Linked DNA regions of Drosophila melanogaster. The protein of the gene in region 1 interacts with the protein of each later gene in a biochemical or structural test. Each region holds a gene or a part of one and is shown on either strand. Other genes may lie near its edges.

Evidence for each region.
Region 2: of the proteins of Dad (region 1) and Art1, one has a biochemical effect on the other in vitro, tested with the Drosophila melanogaster proteins (one study listed by BioGRID).

The regions. Positions count from the first base shown.
Region 1 is NT_033777.3:17,050,987-17,058,229, forward strand, and holds the start of Dad (daughters against dpp), read left to right. Parts: upstream 1-3,020; 5' UTR 3,021-3,376; intron 3,377-3,910; exon of another isoform or gene 3,911-4,049; 5' UTR 4,050-4,188; intron 4,189-6,432; 5' UTR 6,433-6,724; coding exon 6,725-7,243.
Region 2 is NT_033777.3:10,784,405-10,790,813, reverse strand, and holds Art1 (arginine methyltransferase 1), read left to right. Parts: upstream 1-2,587; 5' UTR 2,588-2,699; coding exon 2,700-2,702; intron 2,703-2,765; coding exon 2,766-3,041; intron 3,042-3,109; coding exon 3,110-3,339; intron 3,340-3,426; coding exon 3,427-4,048; 3' UTR 4,049-4,333; downstream 4,334-6,409. Other genes in the region: Mcm5 (minichromosome maintenance 5), read right to left, coding at 1-774, 833-1,943, 1,998-2,149; Rbp1 (RNA-binding protein 1), read right to left, coding at 5,294-5,411, 5,891-6,207.

The DNA.
Region 1 (7,243 bases):
GCGCTATACAAAACCAAATTTCAAAAGAAACATTTACACGCAGTTACAAATAATTGGAAATGACACAAAATCCAGGAGGTAAGACGCGTTTAAAGCCTTGGATAATCATCAACGAGTTGTGAAACTGATTTTAAACTTCACACTCAATCAAATTTTGATAACATTATGTGTATGTTTTCTAATTTTAGTTAAACATTTTTTTAACAGTGTTTTAAAAACATATTTAAAACGTAGATCTTAACAAAAACTAGCGTGTTATAAAAATATAAGACTGTAGTTTCGTTGTGAAGATAGTCAAAATGCGAAAGATATGTGAGTTTGTTATCTCTTTGGCTAAAACAAAGAACGCTGATCAGAATTAACAGGTAAGTCGATATGGCTTTCAAGAGCTCAAAGGCCAGACAAATTCTTCCGACTTGAAGGGACACACACGCTACTCAGATTTATCTCTTTTGAATGAACTCTCGAAAATTAGCTTATGAAACTCAAAACCGAGGGCAAGAGGGACAGCAATGGGGTGTATCAATGGATAAAAAAGGCTGGAACTCGTTAAGGGGCAAACAAATGCCAAGGAATTGCACAGGATAAGACGATGATGAACGATGCTAAACTGGTTTTCAGATCTGCCAAGAATTTCTTCAGCTTTGAGTTTTCTGAAGACAGAGGAAGTCGGCTGCTGATAGTGGATTGCAGCAGATTCGCAGAGAATGCGAGTGAAGAGTTTTCAAGGATGAGTGGCCACCCAAGTGGACCCCTGTCAACTGAACAATCATTCAGAAATTGCAGCAAGTCGGCAGATCAAGTACTTAACCAACTTATTACCTTATTCTGACACGAATGTGGGAACTTTTCAAGAATAAGTTGCGAATTTTTTTTTTACCTTTTTACGAATCAAGCGTTGTTTTTCAAAATTTGGTGGTCAGTAGCCAACAAACTTCCGAGAATTCTTCAGATAGCAAATTAGAAAACCTTTCTGAATGGTCCAAATTCCACAAGTTCTGTCGGCATTTAAAAGAGTCGAATCGGTAACCCGATACTTTCCAAACAACAAAACTCGTAAACAGCCGAGCGAGCTAAGATTTCATAGGTGACCATCTACTATATCACCCAAACCATATACCATACCTCTTCCCACACACAAAAGCCATACACATATTTGTGCTTATCCACGTTGTGCATTTGTTTATAGTTAAATGACGTAACTTTTAATAAGGTTGACTGTTGCGATAGACACGTGTAAAACTAACCACAATGTAATATCTCCGATGTAGTTTTAAAATGGCGAAAATATAAAGTAAGCATTTAGTTTTAATATATACATTCGAAATACCTTTTTCCCAATATTATGCTTAAGAGCAATTGGCTTAGTAGAGTTGCAATATTTTTATATTCTAAGAAAAGGGTTAACCATAACAAAGGCACTGCTGAATAATTGAGGCCCTTTAAATAAGATGCTTTGTGGGACGCTACTCCTCGCTGTCGTATTATTTGTTTAGCATTTGCGGAATGTCTCTGGCCTCATAAGAAAATAATGTATTCAAACTCCTGCCGCCGTCCTTTCCGGAGTTAATACCCATGCCCCTCCACGGGGCAAGTCAGGGGCCCGACTCTCGCTTATTTAACGCTCACGACGCGATCAAATTCCTCCTGCCAACATCGCCGGTTGCCGGTTTCACTCCACAAGTGGCCTGTGTTCCCTGTTCCCGACCTATTATTATCGTAATGACGGGAGCCTATTTGCTTTTGTGTTTTCGAGTCGTCCAAACGAGAGACAATTATGTATTTCTACTGGAACTGACGAACCAGGGTTCCTGTTGGAGCGTCTGCTTGGCACTGTGAAAAATCTGGACGTGATCTTGTGTTCCTTACACGTTTAAGTAATACCGGTTTTAAATTACAATAAACTACAATAACTAAATTCGACGTTGCCACTGTATTGCACTGTACTGTATGTCATAGATGAACTAAAGGTAAACTTATATTTATTATTATTTAGAGAATTAGTTATAGTAATAACGACTGTAAAAAATTTTAGCATAGATAATTCCATCGACTTTTCTCGCAGTGCGGTATGCGATCCTCGCTGCGCGCTTTAAGTGTGTTTCTGTGTGTGTAGGGCCGCTGCAGGGGCGCCACTTTGTATGGGCGTGTGTGCGTCCGTGTGTTTGGCAGACATGGGCAAGGCAATGCAACTGATATGCCCTTGATCACAACCATTCATCACATTTTGCGGCAACCAAGACCGCGCTAAATGTCGATGTTGCTTCCTCAGGTTCTCCGCTCTCGACAGCATCGAGGGAGTTGAGTTTTTTGGCAACTTCAACAGACGTATTTAACAGGGGCTAATATGTACTGAGAGTTTTTAATTTGATTCGAATTAATTAAACCTTGTATGCCTTTTAAGCATTTACCTTTTAAGACATCTTAAATAAAATTTTAAGGTACATTAATCTTTTTTTAACTTAAATTATAAAATGCTCATACTGAACACGGCTTTTCAATTATAAACATATAGTTATAGATTTCTCCTATATTATAGGACAGCTTAGTATTTCCCACATAATTTGTCTAGGAAAACTTATCAATTTTTGAAATTACCGCGTTAGCCAACACTATTTCCAACGGCACTGCCAGCATGAAGCGAGTGTGGGTGTGCGTGCGCAGGTTGTATCTGTCCGCGGAAGCGAAACGAAACTCACCACGCCATAGTAGCCATCCAACGGATGCTCTCCACTCTCAGATGTCTTGGATTCTTTGGTTTAGCACTTGTAGTAGGAATGGGAATGTGAAAAATATGAAGATATTTTAACAAGTCTTTTCTAATTAATAATAAAACTGAAGTTCTTATACATTGTTAGAACGGGAACTTTATGTATGATTCTAATTTTACAATTTCTTGGTCTCTTAATTTTTCTCTCTCTCTCTAAACCTCCCTCTCCCAGGCGCTCTCTCAGGCGTTTCTCCCACGTTTATTCCCCACAGCTCCAAAGACTATCAATCCGCACAGTTAGCGCTTCGCTCATTGCCCCAACAATTTTCAACCGCGTCGCTTGTGTGTTCTTTTGCCGTTCGAGAAATCCAAATCCGAAAGATATCAACGAAAAGATGGATACTTGACGTATTGCCACGAGAAATTTTCCGAAATAACGTTATTTGTGTTCGAGACTGCTAAATGATTTTTGGGTTAATTAAATGACAAAAAAACGCAGTTCCTAAATATCGGACTTTTTCGCCTTTCCCCGACTCTTTTTTCGCAACATTTACGGGTTTTGTTTTTGTTGTTGTAAACGCGGGCGTCGTAAACAACAAACAAGTGCAGTGAAGTTGTTGTGCGCTCTAGAACTGAAATGTGAAGGAGGAAATACATAGAAAAAGTGTGAGTGCAGCAGGCAAATCAATTGAAGTGAGAATCGAAGGGGATTGGAAATCGTCAGGCGAAAATCTTTTATTTTTGCTGCTTGCTGTTATGAATTCTATGCATTTGTTTGTGTTTGTGTGTGCAAAGAAAGAGCGAGAATTCTCCGCCCGGATAACGGATCTTCGATCTCGTTTGCGTGCGTGTGTTTTGTGGTTGTGTTCGTGTGCGAATTAAAAATCAATGAGCATCGGGGGGAAAATGCGGGCCAAATAATAAGTGTGTTCAAGCTTTAACTGAGCAAATAACAGCAAGAAAAGAAATGCAATTGTTCGCCAGCCACGTACACACATTGTACCTGCACTGGCCCATACAAACAAACAAACGTATACGTATATAGCGGTGGTAGCGACGCCGGCAGAATCAAAGCAGAGCGCAAATCGCAAGCCAACAAAAAACACCTTTTCCACCACGTTAAAAATTGTTATTGTTTTCCGGCATTCGGCTACTTCAACATAATATTCAACCGAAATCAACACATTACTCGCACCTTATTAAATCCACACAAACGTACACATGCATAGGAAAAAGTGACTGACCAGCAGCAAAAAAAGAAAAAATCGACTGCGGTTACCAATCCAATAACAAAAACCCGTCGGCACGTGTTAAACAAATTCAAATTCGTTGCTAATAGTTTGTTTCTTCTGCAGTAAATGTAAATACAAATTATCAAGTGAACCTCTAAACATATCAAATACACCTACACATATCAAAAAGTAATACTACATAAGGAAAGGATTAAACGGAAACCACCTAACAAAAAATTTTAAACAGTAAGTACCTATTTCCACTCCTTAGAACTCAAAATCAAGCCGATTTGAAGAGGTGCACTCGTGATTATGCAAAATAGCTAAGTCAACAAACAAATGCTTATCACTCATTAGCGTTATTTAAGTTTTCATATTCAATATTTTCTGATGCGGTTTCGAAGATAATTTTATATTTTATATAATACCGAGTCGCGAATATCTGTTACCAAATCGCTATAGTTTCCAATTGGACTTACAATTACTCATGCTTTCATTATCAGAAAGTCCATAACTACGTATGTATATATAAATATACATATAAATTTGTAAACGTGAATTTGGAAAAAATAATCACTCAGCGGGTTTGAATAAAAATTCTTGAGTATAGACTGTTTTCAATTGATTGTTAAATGTGCGATATATGGCTTTTGAAGTGTTGATGTGCAATTTTTTTTTTTTGTATTGGACTTGCTCTAAATACTGAATTTTATGAACGTAAACAGCTCTCTCTATTGTTCACTGGATTACACATCTTTCATAGTTTTAAATGTGGAAGGGTTTTTGTTCCGGCTGACTCAAGATTGGTAAATATTTGAAAGCAAAAGTACGGTGGTATCAATTACTTTGCAATTTTGAAGCTAAAAACTGTGGTGCATACATCGCACATCATAAATAATTTTAGATGTATGTCCATATGTAAATAATTTATTTCTGTCGCTTTCGCATTGCATTTTTTATTATTGACAAATATTAATCGTGCAGTTATACGGTTTATGTGGAGGGAATGAAGGATCTTATAAATTGATTCCTATTATTAATTATGTTTCTGTTCTTGACAAAATAAGTAAAGTCCTAAGATTGGTCTCATAAGATAATGCTACTGTTTAAAACATACCTTTTTTTGTTTCCGATTGAAAAACTCAGATGCATTCTGATAAGTTCTAATTCAAAGCTAGACTTTAAGAACGCTAAGTTCTCGACTTGATGACTTTTCAGAAGAGTTTCGAGAGCGCCTTCAATTCTAATTCCCACCACACTCGCACTCTCTGGTGGTACGTACTCTTTTGAACCACGGCTGCGGTAGATTATTTCATACTCACCTCAACCTTAAATTGTTGATTCTTCAACTTGTCAAACCGGCTGACAAACCGACCGTCGCGTCGCTCGTCCCTGTCCGTGTGTCTGTCTAAGGTGAGCGTGTGTTGGTGTGGCGCCATTCCGACGACGCCTCTGCCGCCGACATCGTTACTATTATTTCTTTTATTACGTCAGTGGCGCCAGGCATTTCCCTCTCGCTCGCACGCCCGCCGCCCTGCCTTTTTTTTACTCTGCACGCAAGCATTCTGTATGTATGAGTGAGCGAGAGAGCGCGAGTGTGTTTGATGCGGTGTGTTGGTGTTGGTGAGCGTGCTTGTGGGGCTGACTCGTAATTTTGTTGCTGTTCGTCGCTGCTGTGCTGTTTTTTATGTTGTTGCCGTCATGCCGGCGGCGCCACTTTTGTCGTCGATAAGGAGCGCAAGAAATGCCAGCAACAAAATGGAAATAGTCGCATGGGCCACACACATACACAAACACAAGCGTATTTGGGCTGTTAATTTGCGGCGCTCTCCCGTTCGTTCCCCCTTACCAATCGTTCCCCCTTACCAATCGTTCCCCCCCACCATCGTCCGTCTCTTTCTCGCTGACAGCTGATGCTGCCGCACAGATCTTTGCATATGCACTGGCGTCGGCTGTCCGTTGGTGAAAGAGGGCGGGGAGGGGGTATTACTCACTCAAGCGATCCACCACTAGATTCCTTGCCTGCCACCAGGGGCGTAGTCTGGAAATCGAAAACGGGGAATGTAGCCTTTTTATAGGAAATGTGGCACATTCAAACAACACTACGCTCATTATTGATTTGATACATACATATGTATGTAAGTATGCACCTGCATATGTGCTCAGAGGGTTTAATAAAAAATAAAGCATTATGATTTTGGTATCTTTCAAATCAGATTCATCTACATACATATATTATTCTATTCAAAGAAAACAAAAAGTAGCAATATAAACATTGAATTAACAAGCCGATCGGTTTAGCTATGTATGTTTTGGTTACATCTAAATAATACAGATTTAGGGACCAGTTTAATTATGTTTTGAAGATTAGGTGCAGGCAAACCCCTCTCTAGACTCCGCCCCCGCTTTACTTAACCACGAGTGCATTTAACGATGCTCGGAAGACCAATTAGGCCAGTGACTAATCATCGTACTCCTCTTTCATTGCAGAGTGCACACCACTGGACAGTACATATCAAGCCCGTCGAAAGTATACATATCAACGAGTGATACGAGAAGTATAAAACAGTTTGACAAGTTCCCAAGTCCCCTGAATCCCTCGCCCGCCCCGAAATAAGTTCAAGTTCCCAGACACCCACCCGTGCAATCGGAGTAGCTAAGAAGAACACAAAGTGAACTACCGTGACTAGCCGGCCCCGTCGAGTCCGCGAACCAAGTTAGTCAACTACAAATAATGCGCATACAATAGGATCGATGTTACCGCAAAACTGTATGTCCCTCCATGATATTCCCAAGAGAAAAGAAGGTGTTATGGCGTTATGCGTCCAGCAACAATCCGAGCAATGGGGTGTCAGCAGCACCGCCCGCTCAGCCACCACGGCCGCCTCCCCCTCCACATCGACCCCGCCCTCATCAGTGTACTCCAAGCTTTGGTTATTCCTGCAACGAAGAGGACTCCTTGGCAATGCGACAGACGCCGCTGCCGCCTTACAGTTCGATAGCCTGCGGGATGGACTGCTCCAGCTCAAACTCCAGCTCCTGTGGCCAGAGTTTGAGTCTGAGTCAGGGGCAAGGCCACAACAACAACAACAGCCATCCGTACCGCCGTCTGCCAAATCACATGGATGTGTTGCCGCCGCCTCCGTCAGCGTGCGACCGCTGCTGTACCGCTCCTGGTTACAGCTGCGCAAGCTCCTGCGACGATATGTTGATCGACGGAAGCGATCTGGATCAGGATCGGAGTCCGGATCAGGGACAGGTTCAGCCGGTGGACCGCCGGATGATAAGTGCCACCACCTTT
Region 2 (6,409 bases), 6.3 Mb from region 1:
TTTCAATTGCTTTTCGATGCGGTTGAGTGTTTCCTGGTCCTCCTCGGTCGTGAATCCTTCGGCTCCAGCCAAGCTGCCAGTCATCGCAGCATCAAGGGTAGACACTTGGAAAAGTCGAAGTGCTTCGTTCACGTGCTCATCTGTGGCGAACGGTTGCAAACGAATCTTTGCCAGCGACTCCGAAATGCGGATGACAGCCTCCAACTGACGCACAGTGATGGGAATGCTTAGCCGCTTGTCAGATGCCTTCTCCTGCTGGCCGGCTCCACTGCGCATAAGCACGTAGCGGCTCTTTAGCTTCTCGCCGGCAGCTTCGCTCAGGCGCGGACCGCAATGAGTTCGGCAGTAGTGAATATACTTCTTGAACGTCGACAGCGATATCTCACCCTCAGCCGGCTCTGAAGGCGCTGACTTGTTAGAGCTCAGATGCACGTTGATGATGTGCTTGGCCAGCGTAATGTCCCGCGACTCATCGTGAATATCCTTTACAATGAAAATCATGTCGAAACGGGAGAGAATTGTGGGCATAAAGTCAATGTTCTCCTCGCCCTTGGTGTCGTCCCATCGACCGAAAATGGAGTTGGCAGCTGCCAAGACCGAACAGCGTGAGTTCAAGGTGGTCGTGATGCCGGCTTTGGCAATGGATATTGTCTGCTGTTCCATGGCCTCGTGAATGGCCACACGATCATCCTCTCGCATTTTGTCGAACTCATCAATACAAACCACGCCTCCATCGGCCAGCACCATGGCTCCACCCTCCATGACAAAGTTACGCTAAAGATTAATGTATCATTTAATTTGTAAGGATTAGGTGTGCAATGTTTTTTCTCACCGTTTGAGGATCCTTCATAACCGAAGCCGTGAGACCAGCCGCACTGGAGCCTTTGCCCGAAGTGTAGACTGCTATGGGTGCCACCTTCTCCACAAACTTTAACAACTGTGACTTGGCAGTACCAGGATCTCCCAGCAGTAAGACGTTAATGTCGCCTCGACGGCACAGACCATCCGGTAAACGCTTACGAGACCCGCCAAAAAGCATACAAGTTATAGCTTTCTTGATATCCCGAGAGCCGAAGATGCTGGGCGCCAGTGACTGTGAGAGACGTTCGTAGATGTCCCCAGAGGCGGCCATTCGCCGGAAGTGCTCCTCCTCATCGGATGTGATGTTGCTGTATCGGGAGATGGCACCCGCACCCTCTGAGTCGACGGTGATGCCCACCACCCTCATGTAAGGAGCACGGACTCCAACGACGGCTTTCTCGCGACCATCCCGACGCGAGGGTTTGCCCACCTTGCGAATGGAGTATATGCCCTGGATAAGCACGCGATTGCCGGGCACCACGCGTTCACAGAGCGAGCGATCGCAGAAGAGCTGCAAGTGGCGGGGAATCTCACCCTGTGGCACAAAGTCGGGGAGCTCTTGCAACTTAAGGGTCTGGAAATCGACGCACTTGCACTTGTCCGGCATGATGAAGAAGGGGTCCAGCGGGCACTTGGGTCTGCCCGCCTGCTCCGTGTTGCACTTCCTGGGTAGGGCGTAGCCCTCCAAACCTGGATTCACTTTGAGATTCGGTATGACCGTGCTGCAGGACAGGCATTGGATAGACATCCGCGTAGCCTTGGCACTTATTCCTGAGGCTGCGACAATGATTCCGGCGATCTTAACCAGCTTGGATACGCAGTCCGACTTCAACTGTCGTATGTTGGTGGGATTCGCATTGGAGCTCAGAAGAATCTGGATGTCGTGCATATGTTCCTCGTGCTCCGGCCGGGGAGCTGTGATCTCGTCGGCTACCTCCCGGGCAGCCTCCTCGAAGATTTCCAAATGCTCCGTCGGCTGCTTGTTCAGCTTGTCAGCCAAGGTCTCATCGAAGCCCACCAAATCCTCCATCTCAATCTCCAAGAAGTAGCGACCATTAAGATAGTTCCTCTTCAGGGTGTCACTGCAGGGGGATTACCTTAAATGGGGTTCAGATGAGGAGATGCAGTTCACTTACCGGTATTTGTAGAAAAAGTTCTCCTCGTTAAATGTCCGGATGAACTCCTTGTACTTCTTCTTTACCGCCTGCAAGTTGATTTGCGCATCCTGCTGGTTATCTCCGCCGAAATTGTCCGAAAAGAACACACCCGCATCGTCGAAGCCTTCCATTTTGATAGGGTAAACAAAGTTAAAAAGAAGAACTGAGGTAATAGACGCTACTTCTGCTTCGCTTTATATTTCGTTTTTTAGTAAATGCGATGTGCGAATATTTTGCCGCCAAAATTACCGGGCAAGCGGTAGCTAGAGATGAGCACTTACCAGTAAAACTATCGGATCTTATTTACAACTATCGATGAAACGTGTTTCCCAGTTTATGTATTTTTGTTAGCAGTGAAATAGGACCAATACAACAAGCATTGCAGCAGTTAATAAACCATGAACGTATTTATTATATCTTATTGATGTTATGACAAAGATTATTTTACTCGATTATATGGAACATGCCTTAGACAACTGACTCCAATTCTTCCCAGCTCAAAAATACTAAAATTTCAGAAAAATCCAATAATATCGAGCTGGCGATATTTGTTTCCAGCTTTTGTGCGGGGGCAGTGTTGATAAGCGACCTTTTAAACTAGCGTGCTGTAGAAACAGTCCCATCATTTAGTCGCCAATTTTTCGACGTGAAAAACCAAAGAGACGCCGAAGAAATTAGAAAATGGTAAGTTTTGGTCAAAATGTGACGGCAATCGACAGGCCAGTAGCTGACGAACCCGATTCGCAGGCCAGCACAGACATTCCCATGGAGGCAGCTGTGGAATCGGCGACCGGCATCACGCCCAATTCAAATGCGAACTCAAACAATGTGGCGAAGAAGCTGCCCGCGGAGGGCTCCACCGGTGATAATCCCAATGCCAACGCCGACGAGATGACGTCCCGCGACTATTACTTTGACTCCTATGCCCATTTCGGGATCCACGAGGAGATGCTCAAGGACGAAGTGCGCACCGTCACATACCGCAACGCCATGTACCACAACAAGCATCTGTTTCAGGGCAAGGTAGGGTTAACTTCCGGGGTTTCCCCATTTTTCGTAGCCCTTCTCACCGGGGTATCTCCTCTTTGCAGACCGTACTGGACGTGGGTTGCGGTACCGGCATTCTCTCCATGTTCGCTGCCAAAGCCGGTGCTGCTCAGGTGATTGCCGTCGACTGCTCCAACATCATTGAGTTTGCCCGCCAAGTGGTCATTGACAACAATCTGCAGGATGTAATCACGGTTGTCAAGGGCAAGATTGAGGAGATTGAGCTTCCAAATGGTATTGAGGGAGTGGACATTATTATTTCCGAGTGGATGGGGTAGGTTTTCATTTGTAGTTAAGCTTTTAAAAAGTGGTCATATTTGATTTAGCATATTAACCATTTTAATTTCTTTCCTTAATTTAGTTACTGCCTGTTCTACGAATCCATGCTGGATACAGTGTTGTACGCTCGGGACAAGTGGCTGAAGAAGGACGGCATGATGTTCCCAGATAGGGGCACGCTGTATATCACGGCCATCGAGGACAGACAGTACAAGGACGAGAAGATCAACTGGTGGGACGATGTCTACGGCTTCGACATGAGCTGCATTCGTAAGGTGGCCGTGACCGAGCCACTGGTCGACGTGGTCGATCCCAAGCAAGTGGTATCCACATCTTGCATGGTCAAGGAGGTGGATCTGTATACCGTGCAAAAGGCCGATCTTAACTTCTCGTCCAAGTTCAGCCTATGCATCAAGCGCAACGACTTCGTGCAGGCATTAGTCACCTACTTTAATATAGAGTTCACCAAGTGCCACAAGCGTCTTGGGTTCAGTACGTCACCAGACTCCACATACACGCATTGGAAGCAAACCGTGTTCTACCTCGATGACCACATGACGGCAAAGAAGAACGAGGAGATCACTGGCACGTTCCAGATGAAGCCCAACGAGCGGAACAACCGTGACCTGGACTTCGTCATCGACATTAATTTCAAGGGCGAATTGTCTCAAATTCAGGAGTCGAACACATACCGCATGCGCTAGGGGCAGCCATAACCAATCCGATCTGCCATTTGGGATGGGGCTCAGAGCCCTGCAGCGAGGATACATACAATGACTAGACGTAAGGTTTATTCCAGTGCGAAATGTGCAACGAATTCGTGTTGCGTCTTCTCCTAAGTTTAAAGTGTACCTTTGTTAGTATACATAATATTTTACACTCGTGCGCCTGTTTAAATTATTATTCGAACATACTTCTAAGCAAGTTGTACAGCAGCACGTCAATTCTCACATAATAAACAGTGCACTAAGCACGTCCCCTTTTGCTGGAAACAAACTGTTTTTGATGATATATGAAACCAATCAAAACTCGCTGATTGTGCGTCTTTATTTTTTAGTAAAAAAAAAAAAGGAATTTCAAGAATGCATCGAAAGATTTATATTGTCATCTGAAGTAAATTTACTTGGATCGCAATCGACATAGGAATTCCTACAGAAAATACGGCCTTGGCCGGCTTGTTCTTTGATGCGACACTGCTTAAACGATATCCTTTTGGAAACATTAATGACGATCCCGAGAATCCGAGCGACTTCGACGATCGCGCGAGAAGCTGCGGCTGCGGGGCGATCGGGAGCGACGTGGCGAACGTGACCTGAAATAAACGCATTGGTAAAGAAGAAATGATTACTTAAAAGCTTAATAAAATTATTTAAATCAGCTTAGAATGGTAAGAAGTGTATGTACATACGCGCCTTACAAAGAGCTGCAAAATAGGAGTGTTAAATACTGCTAAATAGTTACTTAAACTAATTACCAGGGGGAACAAAAATGAAAGCTGTGCAAACTGTTTTGTTTCTATGAATTAAGCTGTGAACCAATTAAGATAAGAGTATTATTGCTAATGCTGCTATTACATTTAGCTGCTGCAATTACATTTACTATCTATTACCAACTGATATCCTATAATTAGAGTTTAAAGCTTTCTACTTTGTCGGATACATATGCAATAAGAAAATGGTCGAACAAATCTATAGTAGCTGTGATCATCAGCGTTAAACGCGTTCAAGGCCAGTTTTCTCGACATCAGAGTCAAGTACTTGAGAAAGCGGACGAACCCTCATATCATAGGCAACTAAATTAAAGAAATAATTGTAAGCAATTATTTGAAGGATACGCAGGATAACTTTAAAAAAGAACTCTTTGGGCGACTGCATTGCTTCTTCTAGGATGAAATCATTTGGGTTGCTAATCAAAACTTCTGTGAGGCTGTGACGCTGAACATGGTTAATTTAGAGTTGCAAGTTGAAGGTTGCTGGCTGTGGCTGTGAAGATGGTTGCTGTTGTAGATTGTTGATGTTGTAGAAGGAAGAAGTAGCAGTGGAAGTAGTTCTAGCCGAAGGAGTTATCCTGAAAAAGTGTCGATAACTCGAATTTAACAACCACTAAATGATTGGATCGTAGATAATATATGTATACAGTTTGTAAGTTTGGTCTAAATAAAGTACCAAGTCAATTTTTAATTAGAAATGTTATGAATAGCGATGTGATGTCAGTTGGACATGAATAAAACAGCCTGCGAAGAAGTACTCATAAAACTGACATTTCGAAGGCTGTTCTATCACGTGCAGAAAAAGGCGGGAAAATGTACATGTTTGCTATTCGCAATTAATGTTTTTTGCGACGATTCCAATGAAATTTCGATAACAAATTTTATACGTTTTGATAAGGATTGATTAATTTTGACGGTTACAGGCAAGACCGCCATCATATGCTTAGAAACCTGAAGAAAGTACCCAATTTTTGGAGTCAAGTGATCCATTGTTCCATTTGGGAGACACATTGAGCCAAGTAACATGAGAAGTACAGTTTTTTTGTCGTGGAATTACCTGTAGCGTCCGGAACCAGAGCGACCACTACTGCCGCCTTCTCCGCGCCGGCGATCGCGCGAGCGACCCGAAGACATCTCTACGCGAATCCTAGTGCCGCAGCAGCGTGTTCCGTCCAGGGCACGCGTTGCGTCTTCCGCGTCACGGCGATCCTCAAATTCGACAAAGGCGAAACCTGGTGGATTGCGGGCCACCCACACGTTTCGCAGGGGTCCATATTTGGCAAATGCGCCTTCTATCTCGTGCTTGGACGCCGAGGAGCCCAGGTTTCCCACGTACACCTTGCAGGCCAAGTCCCACTCCCTATATCGCGGCATTTTTGTCGGGCGGTGCGGTATCGTGAGTATTGCGGGAGGTGAGCAAGCGGCTAAAACACGAGTATACGGGTTACTTATATTATCCGTGCAATGAGCTGTTGTATAAACACTAATTTCCACACTTACCTTCTAAAATGTCATCCAATTTTGTTAAAATTTTAACAAAAATCTCCGCCTTTCCTTTATTTATTACAATTACCGA